Linked DNA regions of Lepisosteus oculatus. The protein of the gene in region 1 interacts with the protein of each later gene in a biochemical or structural test. Links are inferred from orthologs where the notes say so. Each region holds a gene or a part of one and is shown on either strand. Other genes may lie near its edges.

What was found. The genes of interacting proteins can lie anywhere in the genome.
Region 2: the proteins of smurf1 (region 1) and plekho1b form a complex in vitro, tested with the Homo sapiens proteins (4 studies listed by BioGRID and IntAct). The link is inferred for Lepisosteus oculatus from reciprocal best matches to the Homo sapiens genes SMURF1 and PLEKHO1.

The regions. Positions count from the first base shown.
Region 1 is NC_090714.1:10,265,858-10,276,484, reverse strand, and holds the start of smurf1 (E3 ubiquitin-protein ligase SMURF1), read right to left. Parts: upstream 4,396-10,627; 5' UTR 4,171-4,395; coding exon 4,116-4,170; intron 1-4,115. Other genes in the region: kpna7 (importin subunit alpha-8), read right to left, coding at 9,435-9,524, 10,301-10,447. UniProt on the Homo sapiens protein: E3 ubiquitin-protein ligase that acts as a negative regulator of BMP signaling pathway. Mediates ubiquitination and degradation of SMAD1 and SMAD5, 2 receptor-regulated SMADs specific for the BMP pathway.
Region 2 is NC_090722.1:3,807,930-3,818,211, reverse strand, and holds the start of plekho1b (pleckstrin homology domain-containing family O member 1b), read left to right. Parts: upstream 1-5,969; 5' UTR 5,970-6,529; coding exon 6,530-6,556; intron 6,557-7,475; coding exon 7,476-7,622; intron 7,623-10,282. UniProt on the Homo sapiens protein: Plays a role in the regulation of the actin cytoskeleton through its interactions with actin capping protein (CP).

The DNA of each region.
Region 1 (10,627 bases):
GCCATATACAATTTCTTGTAGGCTCTCATTTTCCACCAGATTTGTAACCGCATATAAAACAATATAAATTACAGAAAAAAAATTCAAGGTGCGCACAAAAAAAAAAATCACACCAAACTGTGTGACCCTTGTGAATCCCCTCACATAAATCAGGATATATTTTATAACCTTCTCCCTGCAACTTAAATTTTGTATCCCTCCTGTGTGCATTATTCCTAGCTCTTAAAAAAGGATTTCAGCACTTAAAAAACTCCCTTTCGCAGTTTCAGCAAGACTGTAATTGAAGTCATTTGCACAGGCTTTTACAATGCTAAATGCAACATTACTTGCAGGCCATGCGATGCATAAATTTAAATTTAAACCCCTTACAAGCCTGCCTTCGAATTTTATGTTATGCAGATGTATATAATTAAAAAGCACAACAATAAAGTTGGACTATATGAAGCAAATTCATGCTTGGATATTTGCATTCCCCCCAAAATAACTCCTTAACAGTGATGAACAAAAGCTGTCCGCAGAATGTTAATCTTAAAAATGACTAGGCTACAAAAAAATTCAATGTACGGTAAATGTTCAGTTCAGAATCTAGGGGTTTAACAAGGGGTATTGTAACATTTAGTCTAACAGACTAAACCGACCCTCCTGGGCAACATTTCCCAGAACAAGGTCTGGACTGATGAGGCAAAATAACTGGGAGACTAAACACTGCAGCAGCCAGTGTAATGGCTTCATGCTCATTGTTACATGACACTCCAGACATTCCACAGCCAATTAGAATTCCTTTCATCTGCTCGGGGGGGTTGAACACAGCTGGAACTGATGGATTAGTCTAGATCCCTACAACACTTATGAAGTGTGATGTTTGCATTGCTAGGAACAGGAATTCTGCATATTTCAACACAATAAAATAGCATTGCTCAAAACAGCCACAGAACATCTATGTGTTAAGAATCACTAAGAATTTATTTCAGAAGAAAAAAATATTTCAAGAGTGGCCTAACTAAAGTAAAGCAGAAGAATAATCGATAATGCATGCAAAGCATTGAGATCTTACAGTTCTTCCATGCGTTAAAACTTAAAATACATTTAATAGATGTTAATTATTGTACATTTCACATGTTACAACTGCCTTGAGATCTTACCAAAGAGTCATAGCCAAGTCACCTAATCTTGCCTCACCACATTCAAACCCTGGCTCTTATACTCTAGCTTTTAAATGCTGTTGAATGTACCTTTTTAATACACTCTGTTGATTGTTGTTTTGGTTGCTATTGCACATTACATCAAGACAGTTGAGAGTTGCAACATGAAGATTATTAAATCCTGTAAAATCAAAGAACCAAAAATTAATTAAAACTGGCACACAAGGTCCATACCATTAACACACTTCTGAAATAAAAACCGCTCTATTAAAAAGCCGAGATTACTTTTATTCAGTAATTTTCATTAAAGCGTTTAATTTCCATTTTCAAATCGTCGTGAAGACTGAAGAATGGAAATGGCTGTAACTGTAAATAGTGTGGATCTTTCCAGCCCTTGCAATTTCACAATCTGCCTCCCATTGACCGGCACACATTGTGCTCCTCAAAAACAACAACAAAATCACAGCCATTTCAGGAACTATTCACCCATGAACTCTTGTAAGGTCAGCTGAAGAAACAAGAGCCACGGTCTGATGAGGGAACAATATTTCTATCAAACAGCTTGGGCACTTAATACTTAACCAATTACTTATTACTAAACTCAAATGACATTATTGCAAGATTTAAAAACAAATAAACATCCCCATGAAAGGTTGCCCCTGTGTAACACTGGTAAACTATGACAAAGAATCATTTAATCTAATTTTAGATTGTAAAATCAAAATGTAACTGTAGCTAGACATAAAAGCCTCTTCCTATTAGACTAAGTCAAAGATACTTAAAACAAATTAAATAACACTATCTTCTCTCCATACAGGGGTATGGGAACAATGGAATTCAGAATTTATTCGAAGTTGTCACTCTCCAAAGGTGTTTTTGTCTCCACTTCGGCAATTAAAAAATCAATTTACAGACGGCGCTTTTTACAGCTCTTTACACAAATAGCTTCAGTAACGTACTAACGACTAGAAACTTGAATGCTCTGCTGAAAGTTTGATTGAGGTTATAGTAGAAGCTGCAGTACAACATAATCCAGAAACAACCCATGTCTTTCATAGGTACTGTGTGACTGAAAGCTCTAGGCCTATACAGCAACCAATGGTCTTCTGTGTAAATGAATAATGTATAATGATGAATGGTGAATGTGAATGGTGAAATACACACACTTCTTAACTTGGATATCTTTGATCGAGTACAGCATTTTTGTTTTTCATCTTTCATATGACAAAGTAATGGTGACATTAGGAGGCTACAATACAGCCTATACTTTGCTTCGAGAAACAACTTCATGATTCTTACTGTAAAGCCAGTTTACTGCATCATTGTCAATCACAAACCGGCCATCAAAACAATTCAAGCTAAAGTACAAGATGGGCTGACAGTTCTATATTTGTGACCAAAAGATAAAATGACGACAAACAAAATGAATGCTCCATCAGCCCCAATACCCGTGAACTTTTAAGTTATCAGCTGGACAGTTACATTCTCCACCCCTGTCGCTGGATCTAGACAGAAAACAAAGAGTCAACCCGACAAGCAAAGCTAAACCATAAAACGCTTTGGGTTTTACGATTAACATTTTTTTGCCCCTAATACGCCCCAGTTTGCAGGCCAAGTCTGTCCGGGTTAAGAGTGCACTACATGAACCTATGGGATTTTTCATGCCTCACATTAACACTCCACGCAGACCGTAACAAAATTCTAACGCACTTTGTCAGATTCTAAAAGACAAACAATTAAAATAATAATGAGAATCTGAATCTCGGGTTCATGGCCGCAAGCTTCGCAGTTTGCATAGCAATGGTAGCAACTACCCACGTAGAGGAAAACGGCAGTGTAGTCTGTAAGAGTCTTTCACATGTACTGTAGCTGAAGGGCCCATAAAACAGCGATTAAACCCCATTCAGATTCCAGTACTAGTAGACAGTGCTGACACCCTCCGGACCCACAGGAACAGAAGACTGGTGCATTGACCATAGCTTCTCTACAGCACCTCAGCCCTAGTAATCCGTTCGGGGAAAAATGCGCCGACAATCGGGAATATATCTAATTTGGAGAACAATAAGACCGATTTACTTGGCCACAGATTTCTGTTAAGTGGAACTGAATGGGCATGGTCTCTGTTTTAGTCAGGCTGCAAAGCTGACAGGCCTAGATCATACACATGTATGTACAGTGCAGACACACACTTCACACAAAAGCAGGCTGCCAGGTCTGAGCGTCAGCTTGTTGCCTCCGTCTCGGCAGTTCCGAGTTTGAACTAGTCCTGCAAATCATTCACCGCTCTGCACAGCAGGGCTGATCCGGTTCCGATCCCGGCTCTGCCAGAGCAGCTTCCTCCCCGGAGCGAAATCAGTCAAGCACTTCGAAAATTAAAAGGACAGACGGGTTAGCAGGCGCTCTAATCAGGCAGGAAGGAAGCGACATCACCGCCCGAGTGCGCCTGTGCACAGTGTGTCCCTTCCATTTATTTACAGACAGCAGAATACATTGCAAAGGCAAATGACAGCATTAAAGCGGAAACGATCATAAATGCAAGGTGTTCACGATATGCAACTGATGCTGATGTCCAGCAAAAATGCATAAAAGTTACAAAAAAAAGGTTTGTAAGAGGCCGATGTAAATGTGATCCTGGGCCGTGTGCACCTACATCCCGTGCACAGATCGTTTGTTTGCAAGTCCTTATTGTACAAATGAATTCTGCCAAATCGCAGGAAACAAAAAAGTGGGCCAACCTCGTCAACAGCAGATCCCAGCAAGCCTGGTTCATCGCCAATGGTAGAGAAATTACCAGGTCTACGGCTATTTCACCTCGGTTGGTGCAGCAAGGGGTCTGCCCACAAAAGGCTTCCAATGAAAAACACCCGGCTTCTTCACCCACAACTAGGGTGTATGGCATTAAAAGTGGAGGTGCCGGACTTAAAAGACAAAACTGCAACACAAACCCCTAACAACAATGGTGTTTTTGCTTACCTGTCAGTCGGATTTTGATGCTAGACCCGTTCCTCCGAGTCCCAGGATTCGACATCACTCCGGAAAAGAAATAGCTAACTTTCCCTTAGGTCTGACCTAAGATTAAAACTTCACCACGAAGCTAGACTGTCGGGAAAAACAAAATACACCAAAACGGTGTTTCTAGAATGGCTTATCAAGGGTATATTTTTATTATTTCCTTCTCGGAAAATCCCCCAAAGCTCCCAGCTCGCATAACGCTCCTAAACATTTTCGAGCTCAAAGGCGTTCTGACGTCAGCGCAGCACGGCGGGACGTGCACGCACACGACTGTGGCGTCGAGGTGTCAGAGCGGTCCCGACTGCTCGGGACAGGGGGAGGCAGGGGCTGGATGACAAAGGAAAAGCGAGGAAAGGGGTCGTGTCCGTCTACTTCTTAAGAGAGAGGCGGCGCCCCCCAAGCTTGGTGTGTTTGCATTGTAAAAATCTCAATGTCAATGCCATGCCTAACAGTAAGTAGGCGTACTCACACGAACGCAACTACCTTTGTGCAGAAATGGGATGTGTGCCTCAATACGTTTAAATTGGCGTTTTACAACATTTCGGAGTATATGGAAAATGCATAGCTACATGTGTGGATTATGGGGGAAATTAATTTCCTAACTTTGGTTAACACGCCAGAATCCATTTCAAAGGGCGATAAGTAGATTTCCAAAACGTCTCATGTTTTTAGTTAGTACAAGAATACGTCTTGTGCTGTACAAAATGGAAACGTCCCATACACAATGACATCCGAAATATTTGTGTTACATGAATTATAGTCGTTTTAACGTGTTGTAAATTAAGTGTGTTCTGTATGACATCCTGGATCGACTTTCTCTTAATGTGATACCACTCTTGATGACTGCTTGGATTATTTTAATAGTCTTAGTTTTGATGTTTAAAATACTAAATACCCTAATATGCTTTTGTTTAAATATATATATATATTAAGAATTATTGAATTTAATATACTGAAATTCGCTACAGTCCAAAAAATGTTACGCACCCGTTATAATTGAGTAATGCAAATATTTCTTTAAGAAGTATTTAACGTCCTTAACCTGCCCGTCAGTACACTCATAAACATCTTTACCAAATACTATTGACTCAGCTGTTGTGAAAATTCGACGCCCTTAAGGATTTACAAATTGTATGCAGCAGGACAGCCGTATTTAATGTCAAGATGATGATACATTAATTTATTTCGGGGATCAGCTTCATAGCGTTTTTCAATTAAACTTATTTAACTACATAAAGTACATATAGAGGTCAATTTAAATAGCTTTATTTAATATAGATTTGCATCTTAATATTCACAAAGAGTAAACCAGCTCTTAAAGAATAATGTGATTTAGGAAATAATAGTTTACTGAAAACCATGTTTCATCCACATCAAAATGTACTTAGTGTAGTATAAGATTCTCAAGTACAAGATTTTTTTTAAAAAAGTTTGACATCTGCATTTGTTATATAATTGTATTGAATCCACAAACAAGTGAACCCCTGTATGTAATGAAAAAGTCTTAAAACATAAAAAGACATTCATATCCTCATTTGTAAAAGTATAATATTCCACACCATATTGGCAAACAAAATTTTGAGTGGGGATTTCTTTTAAATATTTTTTTAAAAATATCCAAGTTTCTTTCTCAAGTCAAATAAAATCACTTGCACCCACCTTCCAGCTAATTGATACCAGACACAAAGCAGGTTCTCATCAGGCTAAAACATTCTTTACAAGCTGTTGGGAAAGGGCATGTGAGTGCACCTACAGTAAAGAAACTTTTTAAATAACTGTGACTCATTTCCTGTCCAAAAACAGAATTATAATGGCGCATAACTTTGGTATCCGGCCTGCAGAAAGTCTGGTCATATGCTGATGTACAGTAGTTCTTTCAGTGAGTTTTTGATTTTGTGAAAGCACGCACCCAGTTTAATTTGGGCAATACACAAGACGACTACAGTTCCTGCCTGGTGGGACTGCTCCAGGCCCAGCGATCTGCAACAGTGTGCAAGACCATGGCAACTTGTAGAATCCCCATTACATGCTAATTGTTGCTGGCTGGTAGCCTGTTTCAGTGTAGCTCTATGGGATGCGTCTTGCAGTAGCTTTCATGGAAGAATCTTATGTAAAGTTCGGCTGCAAAAATGAGTTAAGTGACTGCTCCCCTATCAATTTAAAGGTGTTCTCCTAATTATATTGATAATTTTGTGGTATAACCACCTACATAATCTAAACACTGCAACTTATTTTTTTCCAGTCAAGCTCATCTATTGGTTAAACCAAAATAATGTGAACATCAAGGTTTTTCTGCTACTCGTCACTTCAATTTATGGAATTATTTTAGTAAACTAAATTAAATGCCTGATCTCAATCACTTGTCAGTCTTGATGAGTTATTTCACTTCCATGACTCATAACATGATTAAATGAGAAATGAGAATCTCCTCCATGAAGCACCTGCTCAAAAGGAATTTCGTAAAAAGAATTCTAAACAATAGTAAATCATTCCCTTATTCTCGCCTTAAGCTACACCATAAAACTTAAGAGTCTTGCTGGCAAGACATGAATCCTAAACACCATGCCATTGCAGATAGTTACTACATTCATAAAGCCACAGAGGAACAAAATGGCGTCTTTGACCTACATAATTAAAATGTAAAAATGTGCAACTAAAGAGTTAAGGGCATTTTATTTATCAACAGGTTGAGCTTCATTGTGGATTGCAAAGAATTAGCTATCAATGAAACAAAGGCTTCCTCTGACAAAATGTACAGGGAAACAATCCCCACAAGACAAACAAGGATTCTGACTGCCATACTGCCTGTGGTTCAAACACCGGTCAAGGTTTTAAACATTACTGCATTCTTTAGGAATCGTGAGAACCACATTCCACAAAATTAACCATATTTGAAAAATATTTAATTGGAAGAACTATACAAGCACATAGATCAGAATGAAAAAACACACATCCTCAGTATTTACAAATGAGTTGCAAAGAATAGATTGTATACATTTAGGTCACATGGAAAATGAAAAACAAAAATGCACATCTTTCTGATATCCAATTGCAAAATGCTCCCAAGTACTATATTTGCAAGGCTACAAACGCAATTGGAAAAGAGTAATCAAGCATACTCTATACTTAAACACATGGTTTCTGCATTTTACAAATTTGCATAGCTGGCCATAGATGTCTACTTGTTTATTTACAAATCCAGGCCAGAGCAGAAGCAAACCTACACACTCTAACCATATGTTCACTGAGCAAGATAACTTACTCGCAACACAGTCATTCAATTCAACATGTATTCAACTGTATCTGTCAAAAACATACATATAGAAGATACATGAAATATATAACAGGAATATGATTTTGCAGAACCAATACAATTTTAAAACTCATTGAAACCAGTGAGCATTTAGCAGTACATGTTCTAGATCAAGTAGTTTCCATTGCATAAACATCTGAGCTAATACAAAAAAAAACAGCATAAATTAGTCTCAAGTTAATGACACAGATGGATATATAGGAGCATTCCAAAGTAATACAATGGACTGGAAATAGGTTAAACAGAAAAAATGTAAAGAGATTGGATTACCCAACAATCAATCCAAGTCATATATATAGTATGCTGTATTGTATACAGTAGGAGGACCAAGGAGGTTTGAGGAAGAGATCCATATGTGGCACTATTGCCAAAGACATGCAGGCTGTCAGCACACATTATAGAATTGTATATAGGGGAAATATTTTTAATTGTATGACCCATTGTTAATCAGATATTGCATGAATGTAGAGTTTTAATCAATGCAAGTGCTTTAAAACACTGGGGATGTTTACCTTATTTCAAACTAACATTTCTCCCTTATTGTTCTAGTAATTACATTTACATAACCATAATTTGGAATTACCATGTGACCCATTTTACAGCTTCACAGTAAAGCCCCAATTGCATTACCATGTTAGACAAATTAGTACCGATTGGACAAGCACCTTTCAGTGAGGTAACCATTATCTTGAAGGTCCGTGTAGTCCCTTTGGCAGAAAGTCCAGAGCACCCTCACCATCTAATCCCAGCCCTCCCCCTTTAATATCCTGTCTGATTTGCTCTAGTGGTTCTGTTTGTTCAGAGGATTTGGATGAGATACAGAGTTTTTCCCCCAACCAGTATATTTGGAGCAGAGAAGCCAGACTGTGTTCCAAGATTACACCTTTGTAACTTGAGTCACTCTGGAGTTCCTCAAATCAAAATCGGAGTGTGAATAGATCCTGAAGAGAGTCAGGTGAAAATTCAGTTGCTACCTTTAAATTCTTAGGTGTCATCTATGCTTATTCCTTCAGGTATCCACATGGAAGGAAAATGGGCTTCTCTTAAAACAGAATTCAGATCAGGCGACATGGAAGTAATCCCACACATCAGGAATGGTAAAACACTTCCTGCAGTACCACATGTGAAGGTGAGGCTACTCAAAGTCTTACTGGGAATTTGAAAGCTTTCTCAGGTCTGCATTTTAATAGGTAGCCAGGATAGTCTTTCCATTGAGCAAGATGAACATTCCAGTTTGCCGAAGTGGAAGCTATCATACAACCTCTAAATGCAACTATTTAACCAGAATTCTCACTTCCAGAAATTTCTCAAGCATATCATAGTCTTCTTTTTAAGACAACTTGCATTATGAGGGATTTAAATAGCTTCACATATTTCACCTGATTTCTATCATGCAGAAATGTTAGTATTCTGAAAACCAGATCCCAGAGGATACAAATGCAATACTTTGCATTTCTTTTCCACATCGATAAAAGGATGTGGAATTTGGGTTACTAGTTAACTCCATGCCTATGTAACTCAGAAAATCACTTTTTGGGAATTCAACAGGATGGTTACACTTAAACTTTAATACCTTACTAATTTATGCATTAAGACATTTAGCCATGTTACCATTTAACAGAGCTTAGTGTTTAATAGCAAAGTCTTGCCAAGGTCTACAAGTTAAAAGACCTACAGTCAGTCATCCATTTTACTGAAAAACCACAACATGGAAGAAGCATGCCCACTATGCGAGCCATGATGGATACTAGGTTTTCATGTGGACAAGAAGATAGGATTTAGAAACACTTGATACTGTTAAACATGCATTTCAAAAATATTTTATTATCCATTTACTTAGAATGCAATAATTCACACAATACAAAGATATGGAGAGTAAAAAAGAAAAAAAAAACTTGTTCTACACCTTTTTTTCACCCCCAATGCCATTTAAGAGGAAAAGGGCTTAAGGTTCTGAAGGGTGAAGTTCAGAAATTAAATTTTTTATCCACCTCCTGTGGCTGGAAAATGTAACTGCTTTTGGTGGCTTCCGTTTTCAGGCATTCCACATCCGACTCCTAGGTTTAAGATTTTCACAAGATGAGAAATGGGTCACGGCAGAAGGAAAGGTTTAGTCTACAGGTCAACATTTCACAATGTTCTATACAGCCCTCTAGTGTTACCCAATTATAATCATCCTTGCATGACTGGTAGAGATGAATAACACCCATAATTTAGAACCCACTAAGTTTTTAGCCCTATACAATTTTTGTATATGTAGTCTTTTAGGTTTTGACATTTTCCATTTCTAAGATTAGTCTCAGACAGTTTTCATTAATCTGATCATGTAAACAATCCTTTAAATAGTGTAAATCACCCAAATGTGCTGATTCAATGCAGTAATCCATGTATGGATTATAACTACATTCCAAGTAGACAAAAGGACTAAGCATGTCTGGGGTTAGGACTTGCCTCTCTCCAGAGCAAACCACACACGCTCATTAAGAAGGCAGGTGTTACGTACAGTTGGATCCTTCTGCAGACTTTGAAGAATATAAAGCTGGCTTTTGGGGTTCAAAATAATCCTGTTAGGAGCATCTTTAATAGCTGCTACATTGGAACAAAGGTTTTGATATTTCAGGCAAAATTCTACTTACATTTCCTTGCAAAGTAAGGAAAATCAAAAGGTATATTATGAAGAGTATCAGTTAGGGTCTCTTGCTCCCTCCCCAAGGACAAAGTAATTATCTTCCCCTTTTCAATATGCTGCACCTCCAATAAAAAAGCCATACATATACACAAAATGAAATTATGGGCAATGCAGGAAGGTACAGTAGCTTTTGATCAGGCTTACCTCATTAAAGTACTTCTCTATCAGTGCCTGTGCTGCTCGATACACAGAATCATTCTCGTGGTTCTGCAGCAGCTCTATTCTGTCAAGCCCTCCCAGTTCCTCCACCAGCAGGCACAGCTTCTCGGTTTCCCCCAGCTTCTCCGAGGCCTGCAATGGAGCAGTTCCAAAAGTAGCAAGACTGCAGTCTCACATCAGAAAAAAAACCCCCAAAAAATCCTGCTTTTAAAAGTTAAGCAGGGCAGTATTTTCCCCAATCATCCATCACCAAAAGCTTTCACTTCCTGATTATACCATGTATAAATCTATTAAGCATCACTTAACTGACAT
Region 2 (10,282 bases), on another chromosome or scaffold:
AGTGTGATGACAACACGGGTTTGGAAAGGCGTCTTGGGCTTTTATTGCGAAACTGAAATGTCTTCGTAGCGTCTGGGGCAAGAAAACGCAGATAAGGAAGAGGGCGCAGAGAGAAGGAAGGGGAGATTCACGTGGGACGTCCCACACAACGCGCCAGGAGACAGGACAGAAAGGTCAGTGGTCTGCTGTCAGAGCTGAGTGACCACAGAGGGGTGGGAGGAGAATTTGCGGGGGTTGGGATATTGCATAATTACAGAAGGCTCGTATAATCACTGACTGTTGTGACCACCCCTTGCTCAGTAAAAGGGTGTTGATTTTGACTACCCAAAATCCAGTGCAATAGCTTACCTTTCTATAGGTTATGATGGTTAGGTTAGAATGCGAGAGGTTATGTTTTATTCCCACTGGTTATCAACCTGCTCATCTGGATCAAGTAATAGATAAATATATTTTATTTTCATCACGGATGTATCTTATTATCCCACTCACTGATGAGCCAACTCCTTCATTCATCTATTTCTGGAGTCTGAGGACGATTCAAATTTCAGGTGTATGTTTCTTAGTTGTTCGTTTTAAACGTATCGGTGTGCGATGGTTTTTCACCTCCTTGCAAAAGCATATTTCGCATCTGGGGCAATACAGGGAGGACGTAACTTTGCATCTGGAGCCCTGCCCTTTTCGCAACTTGTTTGAGTTTCTTGCTCCGTATCCAGCTCGGCGTGATCTGCTCGTGCTGTTTGTGGAGCTGCAGCAGGGCTTAGTCTTACTGCTGCTGTTGGCACCTCTGCTATGCAGCTGGATATACCTGATGATATGTACAGTATGAAGGGTCAGGGTCTGGGATGTGATTAGGAATATTGCCACCCTGGTGAATGATAATGGTGTCTTGTGGTCAGGTCCTACGAGATGGGGGGCCAGCAGGGCCATTTGGCCCCGGGCCTCACCTCACAGGGGGGCCTCACCTCACCCAAGGGTGCGTGGTCCCCTAATTTATCACTTTGGCTGTGTGTCTCGAATTTGGGAATAATTGACAGCTGGCACGCAGGTAGGAGGCAGCCAAAGGCTCCCAGAGGAAGTCCCATCCCCTAAATGGCTCTGAATGGCTGAAAATAAAATGAGTGACAGCGTGTTTCACCAATCAGGCCAGCTTTTGTGAGGCGGCCAGATTCACCATTCAATTCCAATAGCCAAGACCTTTCCAGTTTCCTCCAGGTGTTTACATGTCATTCTTGACATTCAAATATTTCTGTACCCCTCTCCCCAAACCATGAGGGGGGCCTCACAATGTGAAATGGCCCCCGGGCTTCATCTGAACTCTCAGAGGGCCTGCCTGTAGTGTAAAACAACATAAGAAGAATTACAGTCATGGAGATGCCATTTATCCCAGTTAGCCTGATAGGCAGTCAACTCCCTTTTAATCCAGTAATCTCACCCAGCTGTTTCCAGGGCATCGGCTTCAACACCATAGCTGGGCAGCTCGTTCCTCACTCCCTCGGTCCTCAAAAGAAAGATGTGTTTTTTCAGCAATCGGTGAAGGCCGTTCCTTTAAACCCCAGATTGCCTCCTGTTAAGCTCGTCTGGACAGACTCCAGAGCAGCTACGTGTCTTCTCTAACCTGGTGACCTGCAACCTTTTGTAATAGAGGGCTTCCTGTTTTCAGTTCAGCATTCACTTCCCTCTAACGGCCTTCACTCTGCTTCGCTCTTGTGGGGCAGGAGGCTCTGAAGTGATCATCTGAGCGCCGGTGAACTGGCAGTCAGGTGGTTTCTTGCTTTTTGTAGGTCTCAAATGAGCATTTCGGTCTAAGAAAGAGTCGGGGCTTCTGACTTTATGCTTCACACGCTAGACAGGACACAAACCCTAACTCACAGAGCACGCTGAAATAAGAGTGAAGCCAAATGTGTTTCTCCTGTTCTTTGTTATTTGTGGTTTTGTGGTGCATCTCTGTGTTGTGTTTTCCATGTGCTCACTTCCTTTTTAATCTCATTTTAGTTACTCTGTAGCACAGAGCTACATCTGGATGGTTCCAGTTTTTGTACCTGTTTTTCAATTGTTTTGGCTGTCTCTGTGGACACATTTTATATCTTGCTTGCGAAACACAATGTCAGGGGGCCTGGAGGTCAGTGCTACGGTTTCAGGGCTCCTGGCTCCTGGGTTTGGTTGTGGTTTGGAGTACCTTCTGTGCTGGCATGGTTTTCTCTGTGGGTTCTGGTTTGCTGATGTCTCTAATTCGTTCCTTCGAGATCTAATTGATCAGACAGTATCAGCTGTTTCTTGAAGGATCCCATGCCATCAGCTGCAACAGCACGACATGGCCGGCTCGTTCCATGCTCCCACCACCCTTTGTGTAAGGACGTGCCATTTGGTCTCAGTCTTAAGGGCACGCTCCCGTAGTTTACACCTGTGTGCTATGGCTCGTGCTTCACCATGATTGTGAAAAAAAATGCATCGGAGTGATTTTGCCATTGTGAACTGTTGGTTCGAGTTTATCCACCCATGTTTTGAACTGCTCCAGTTCAGGGTCGCGGGGGAGCTGGAGTGAATCTCAGCAAGCAGTGGGTGCACCGCAGGGTACACCCGGGATGGGACGCCAGTCCAGCACCAGGGCAAACACACGCACACAGTCACACCAGGACCCAGAAACCAATGAGCCTGCCAGCATGTCTGTGGTCTGTGGGAGGAAACCCATGCGAACATCAGGAAAACATACAAACTCCACAGAAAGAGCACCCCGTAGTCATCGTGCTGCCCTGATTCCAGATCAATAGTTAATGAACAGTCATTGTAAGACATTCCTTTAGAACCTAGACTGTGCCTGTCATATGCTCCTCCTGGGACTGATTCATGAGCAGTCATATCTTCTTTGTAATGCAATAGTCAAAGTGATATGCAGTATACCAAATGAGCTCTCATGAATGCATTGTACAAAATGCAGCGTAACTTCCTCTGATCTAAGCACGCTTTTAACTCTGCCAGTAGTCAGACCTCTGGTTGCTTTGTTGTTTTGCTTCCCCATGTTGTGCAGAAGAGGGAAGGGAAAATCTTTTTTACCTGACAGACCGCCTCGTTCAAGATAGAAACATGTCCTGTCACGGGTCTGTTGTTTTCACCTACTGAAAAGAGCCACGGTTTGGCTTCCTGTGAGTCACGTTCTGCCCTTCGCACTGAAGAAAGCACTCCCGCACTTGGGAGAGAGAGAGAGAGGAATACCCGATCTGGGATGGCTTTTCCCACCTTTTCCAACGAAGGAAAATAACCGTTTCCTCTCTAGTTTCACTGGAGATGCATGAGCAGCTCCGAAACGGTTGTCTTTATTAAGACCCCCAGACCACGGGGAGGTAGGGCTCAGCAGCAGGCTAGCTTCCAGGGGGCTGATGCATTAGAATCCGCCTGGGGTCTGCGCACTGTGCTCCTCTCGGGGCCTGGCTCATTCGGATATCGATTATGCCATTAACCCCCTCCCCCAGACGCCCCGACAAGCTAATCGCGTCTGAGTGCAACAACAACAACAACAACAACAACATCTAAAGGGGAGCACGCACGCAGGATGTGTTATTCTCTTAATGGACAAACATTTTCACTGAGTGCAAGCCAGACCGCAAAGGCCTTTAATAGCTTTTGATCCAGGATACTGTGCAGCTCGGCCTGTGTCCCTTTTCAGTGTGTCCCCTATTACGCCACCGCCAAACACAGACGCACACGCGCTCACACAAAACACAGGTCTAAGCTGAAGCACGCCCGGCTTTTGGCGAAACTCATGGTGCTACTGCCCAGTGCTGCCCCCGTCGATTACAGGAGAAAGGTTTGTTGGGCTCTCCCTCTCCCTGTCTGGAAAAGTCCAAAACCGTCTGTGTTGTCGCGAACACGGCGGGCGGGTGGAATGATCTGTGTTTATCCCTCTCAGACCCCGCGCAGAAATAGAACCGGTGTTCCACCGAAACGCCTTTCGTTTCTGAAAATAGCCCGGCGGCGCTGTTTGTTTCCTGGATTGAGCCACACAGAGGGTGAACCAGCAGCCCGGAAAACAGCCTTCACGCAGGCTGAGGCGCATATGCCCGCGGGCCGGGGCCAGCCAGATTAAAATGAGCACCCCAGACTTGTTCCCTTTTTTCCCCAACACACCTGGGCAATCCTTCTCTGGGACGTTTGTCCGTGCCTGGATCAGCACAGGGCTGGTTCAGTCCCACTCTTGGAGTTTTTTTTAGTCTCTTGAATTCCCAAAACAAGCAGAGCTAATAAAGGGGGGGGAGGTTAAATAATTAATTTAAGATGATAATAATAATATTAATAATGCTGTGCCCAAATGGAGTCCGCCCCTCTCTTGACAATTCCCAGTGATGACCAAATCCGCAAAGCTTCCCCCTATGTGTTTGTATAGCGCCTTTCATCCCAAAGGGCTTTACATATAGAAGGGGGACCACCATCACTCACCTCTGGATGCAGCTCCCCAAGCAGATGCCCCCCAGGAGAGCAGACCTGATGGTAAAAGTGAGACAGAGGAAAATGTCGGCTGTGGTTCTGATTGAGGGCAGTGGCAGGGCACAGCGGTCGGCTCTGCCGCCTGACGTCCTGTGGTTCGATTCCTGGGGTGCTGTCTGTGTGGAGTTTGCATGTTCTCTGCGGGCTGGCATGGGTTTCCTCCCACAGGCCAAAGACACGCTGGTGGGTTAACTGGCTTATCGGTCAGTTCTGCTCTGTGTGAGTGTGTGCGTCTGATACCCTTGTGATGGACTGGTGTCCTGCCCATGTAGTACCCTGCCTTGCGCCCGTTGCTTGCTGGGAAAGGCTCCGGCTCCCCTGTGACCCTGAATTGGATGAATCTGGGTAGAAAATGGATGGCGGGATTAGATTGAGCATATACCCAAGGTGAAGTGAATAAATCAGCTTTATTTGCCCAGTACATTCCATGTACAACAAATCTCTGTCCTCTGGTGTGCTTGCTGCTGCAAAGACATTCGACATGTTCCATAGACGCTCAAGACAACAGACATCTTTAAGACAGGGGACATTTCACTGGGAATGCTGGACGCACACAAGGACAGCCCTAGGAAAGAGGCTGATCAGATTCGAGGTGGTTCTGGGTTCGACGGACCGGTACTGTCTTCCTGACGGAGGTTTTTTGAAACAGGTGGTCACCTGGGTGGGGGAGGGTCATCAGCAATCTTGCCTGTCTCTGCTCTGGACTCCCGTACAGGCGGAGACGGGCAGGCCACAGGCAGGGACCTGCGCCGTTTGCCTCACCTCGCCAATCAGTCACAGAGGCCGGGCAGAAGTCCCTCAGTAATGGCTCTGTGAAACTGTATCAGAAATAGTGGAGAGACAACACCGTTTTTCAGCTGCAGCAAGAAAAAAGTACACGCTCTGCTGTGCTTTCTTCGTGATATCGGCGATATTCATTTCCCACTTAAGGGAATTCGAGATCACAAAGGGCTCCTTCACACTCACCGCCTCGTCATAGATTAACAGGGAGAGAGGGTCCGGGAAGCGCCTCCGGAAATCAACCACCACTTCCATGGTACTTTGTTGATTTCCTGTGCTTCAGGGCACTTTTATCAGGGCGATTTGTTCGTATCTTAATTTACCACAATCCTCTACCATGTTTTTACGCTACAGTGTTGTGCTTAGTGACCACAGTGTCACAGTGACGTCTTCAAAGTTTAGAGAGGTTTATTAGGAACCATAGTGGACAGAGTAAGAGAGTTTGCGTGAGGTGGAGGGGCGACAGTTGAGTGCCAGCTCAGGCATGCCAGGGCATGTATTTCAACACTTCAACGCGCCCAGTTAAGTTTAACAAACAGGATAGAGGCTGTAAAATACACAGCAACCACAAACCCTCTCTTCCAGCTCAGCTCGACCGCGATCGTCGCTGTTCGGATATGTGTGCGCGCAAAGATAGCGGGATAAAAATAAAACGAAACTTGACGCGATTTCTGAGACGTCTTCGTCCAACACACACACACTCTCCCCCCTGCTTCGTCCTCAGCCGTGTGTGACCACACACGCGTTTCCTCGGCTCCTGCGCCTCCGGAGCGCTCTGCCTTGCCGGTGACATCACGCGTTGACGTCGCCGAGCTATAGATGGAGCTGTGGAGCGCGGCAGCGGGAGACCCCGGCTGCGAGCGGCTTGTTGATATTCCCAATGACCTGCCTGCGCTTCCCAGAGAAGAGGGCAAAGCCGGGGAGCGTGGTGATGATCCGGCCTCCGCCAGCGTAACCGGAGACCCCCGGGGCGAGACTCGGAGAGCGCGGCGGCGCGGCGGCGGCGAGAGGAGAGAGGCGGAGGACTGGGGAGGCAACCGGAGGCTGTAGCTCCAGGCGAGGGGGAGAGCGACGAGCGAGATCGGGGAGGAGTGGTGGTGGTGGTGGTGGGGGGGGAGAACCCCCATAACACAGTTTCTGCTCCTGTGAGAGAACACCCCCCTTCCCCTTCTCTCTCCATCAGAGGAATCGCCGCTTACAAATAACACCCCGAGTCCGCGGGGTGGAAACTCCGGAGGCACCGCCGCCAGAGACGCACAGACCTCCAGAAATGAAGAAGAGCGCTTCGGCGAAGCGGGTGAGCTTCTCCTCCACACTGCCGTGCCCCGTTTCTCTTTCATCCCCATCCCCTCCGACGCTATGACCCCCGTTTTCCGAGTGTGTGTGTGTGTGAGTGAGGCGGTGTTGGGGGACAAATCCTGCAAAATGTGCGTGTGTGTGTGTGTTTGGGACGGACGGACGAAATGGTGATGTCAGCGAATTCTGTGGACGCGGCGAGGAAGGATCCTGGAGGAGTCCGAGCGTGTGCTACTTGATACGGGCTATTATCGTGACACATTGTCTGTGTCTGAACTGATCTGCGTGTCGGCGGGCATCTGACTGGAGATGCCGCCTTGGGTTTCAGCTTGCGGGGACGTGCCCAGTGTGCCCCGGCATTTCGCGTTTATTAAACCGACTTGGTCCACAGCGCTGAAGTGATGTTCCGCTGCCTGTAGTTTCCGAGCGGGATAGGCTGGGCTGGGGGGTGCTCCTCTCGCTGTGCGCTGAAGGGAGACACTGGGGGGGGGAGAGGGGGGTGTGGACGCGTTAATGGGGGGGGGTTTGCTGTGTCTGAGAGCCCCGGAAACACCGTAGCCCCCTCTTTCCCGTGGGTCTAATCCCGCACTCGTGAGAAGTGCGAGTGGCATTCCCCGCTCCAGGTCACGGGCACGGTTTTAATCAGAGGCGGCGAGGTGCCGGAGCCAGGAATCTCGCATCGTCTGCATGACAAAAGAACTGAGATGCCCGTGTCAACTCTGCCTTTTTGTCTTCGTCATGCGGGCTCCTTTGAATCTTAATGAGGGGCTCGGGTCTACTTCCGCGTCCGTCCGTCTGTCTGTCACTCAGGCGGTGGGCTGGCCAGCGAGTCGGCTAGTCCTCTCCGGGTGTCTCGGCGCAGTCCGGCCGCCCGTGGCTTCGCCTCTTCGCCTGCCAGCTGATTGTGTTTTGCGATGCAGGGGCCTCCGGACGCCAACCAGCCGCCCTCGCAGCCGGAGAAAATCGGCTGGATCCGCAAGTTCTGCGGCCGGGGGATCTTCCGGGAGATCTGGAGGAACCGTTACGTGGTGCTGAAAGGCGACCAGCTCTACATCTCCGAGAAAGAGGTAAAAAGTGTCTGTTTTACCTGTCATGACCCGTTTCGACCCGTCCAAGAGGCAATTAAAAAACAACAACAACAACAACACGTTTTGTAAACTGTTGTTGACCCGCGTGTTCGGAGACAGTCGGCTCTTTTCATATTCCAGTCATCAGGCTGTGTATTATTTGGCCCGCGGCAATACGGTTTTAAATTACTCCTTCAGATATAGATGCTTTGCTAGTTTAAAATGAGTTTCAGTGACTCAGAGGTCAGGCTGTGAAGAACGATCATCCGTTTTCTCTGAGTGAACCATGGTGGTTTGCGTTGAGTCTAACTGTTGTATAATTCTGGAAAGCCCTGTGTGGCAAACTCGAGCCAAAGGGCATCACAGCGCATACAGGACGGGTTAGAAATGAGTGCAGTGCGTTTGGACGCTATCTCTGTCGTAGAACCCATGTCCGGAATGGTAAAAGCTGCTATAGCTAAATTGCAATTTCCTACTCTTCCTGCGCCTTTACTACAGAAGACGTCTGGGAAAAAAACGGTGATGTTCAGAGCTCGTTCCTGGTGGGATTTTCACCCCCTAATCGGACGTTTAAGACCAAGAAGTCCCAAGTTTTCTAAGTTTTTGAGCTGCGTCCTTGTCATTGCACTTCTGCAGGTGCTAAGCAGCCCCTGTGTTAGAGTCTACAGACAGTCGCGACAGCTCGGCTGTGATGCTAACTAGCAGCCTGGCACCCCAGCAGTCCCCGTTCTGACCAGTTCCTGACCCAGCGCTTGGCACAACACCATCTGCCCGGGCCCCGGGAGAGAACGGACACTTCGGCACTTTGGGGGCCCCGTGGAGTTCAGGAAAGACGGGTGCAGACCGAGTCCGAGGAAAGGGAGTCATTGATCCGCGTTACGTGTGGGAGACCCGTGTGACAGCGGTGATGGTTTAGTGATTCCACGGCAGAACGGGCACCTGGGTGATCCAGGAACGCAGAAAAGGTGGAGGCGGGCTTTTGGGAGAATTGCACCTTGCAGATTCAGCTCTGGGAGTGCCAGCAGTTATTTTTATTTTCAGCTGTGCTGGCGATCAGAGCTCGAGTCAGTAAATTGTCAGCAATACTGAGGGCTTATGATGTCCATCAGCCAAACCCAAGCGTGCCCCCACTCGCCCAGCACGGGCCAACCATGCACTAACCCTGGGTGGGTTTTCATGTTCCCCTGTGTGCCGGAGCTGCAGGAGGAGAGGGCTGGGCGTCATCTCCGTAGCTAGCCCTGGATTCCTCTGGGGGAAACGGACTCTGCTGCCCCCCCACCCCCCCGAGCTAACTCCAGCCTGCCTGTGCAAAGAACCAGCTCCTCGTTTCTTGAATTCGTTGAATTTTAATTTGCTGTAACTGCTCCTCAGCACTGTCAGCAGGCCAGCCAAGGCTCACGATTAGGGCTGGCGCGGAGTTCACGTGTCAGGCCACTCTGCCCTTCAGTTTCAGTGAACACCGTTGCTCAGTTTAGCACCACAGTCTTTCAAAGGCTGCATTTTGGCTTCCTTTTGTAGGCATGAGTCATGCTCACAAGCAGTAGGATGGTCTTTTTGCAGTGCTGCCCTGCTTGTCTGTTGCCCTTTCTTTCGCGTTATGTGTACTTTTGGGCAAAACATCAGACATCCATCCATTTTCTAAACACTTTATCCGATTCAGGATCACAGGGTAGTTAGAGCCTATCCCAGCATGCAATGGGCGGAAGGCAGGCTACACCCCGGACGGGACGCCAGTCTATCTCAGGGCAGACACGGACACAAACACACAGACACGCTCACGCGAGGGCCAGTCCTCCCCGAAGCCGATTCATCTACCAGGATGTTTTAGGACTGTAGGTGAAAACCGCGGCACCTGGAGAACATGCAAACTCCATACAGACAGTACTCCAGACATTGAGCCCAGGGCCAGCAATGCTAACCACTGCGCCACTGTGCCACTCAGCAAAACCATCAAACAAGAATTAAGCGGCCCCCTAAACTAAAGAGGCCCTGCACACAGGTGAAGACACTCGATTTGATTCTGAGGAGTTCCTGGCCTCTTCAGTGTCTGGGGCCGCAGTGAGAGAACAGGACGCGCTGCTGAGGCCGGTCGTCTGAGGCCTGTGTCTCCTGGCGGCGTGTCGGCCACGCTGGGGCAGTTCCACTGCTCGAGGAAGTCAAGTTCGCGATTTAGTGGTGAGGAAACGTCTCTGTAGAGGCTAGCTCTAAACACCCCCCTTTCAGACCGCTACCAGACACAGCTGCTTTTTTGGGTGGGGTCTGTGCCTCAGCGAGGTGGAGCTCTTCAGAGCAAAACCCGGCCCTTCTTCCTGTCTCTCCGTCGTGTTTTCGAGCTGATAAAGCCTGTTGCTCATAAGGGGCTCGTGTGGAGCCTGTCCAGACTGAACAATTGAAACGGGCTCAATGACCCGATATTCCACCTTTCCTTCAACTGTTCACTGCCTGTGGTTTTTATCAAACCCCGATCAATACAAACGAGCTTCTTTTTGGGGGAGAAATCGGAGTGAATGTGAACCTGCCCACTTTTCGTTTGTGGTAGATCTGCTGGATGCCTGAGAATTGCAGGCCAGTGCGACTTCCTGGTAATTAGTTTTCCATTACTGATTTATTTTTGTAATGATCTTGGAGTCATGTTAATTAGTCTGGAAGCAAATATGCAG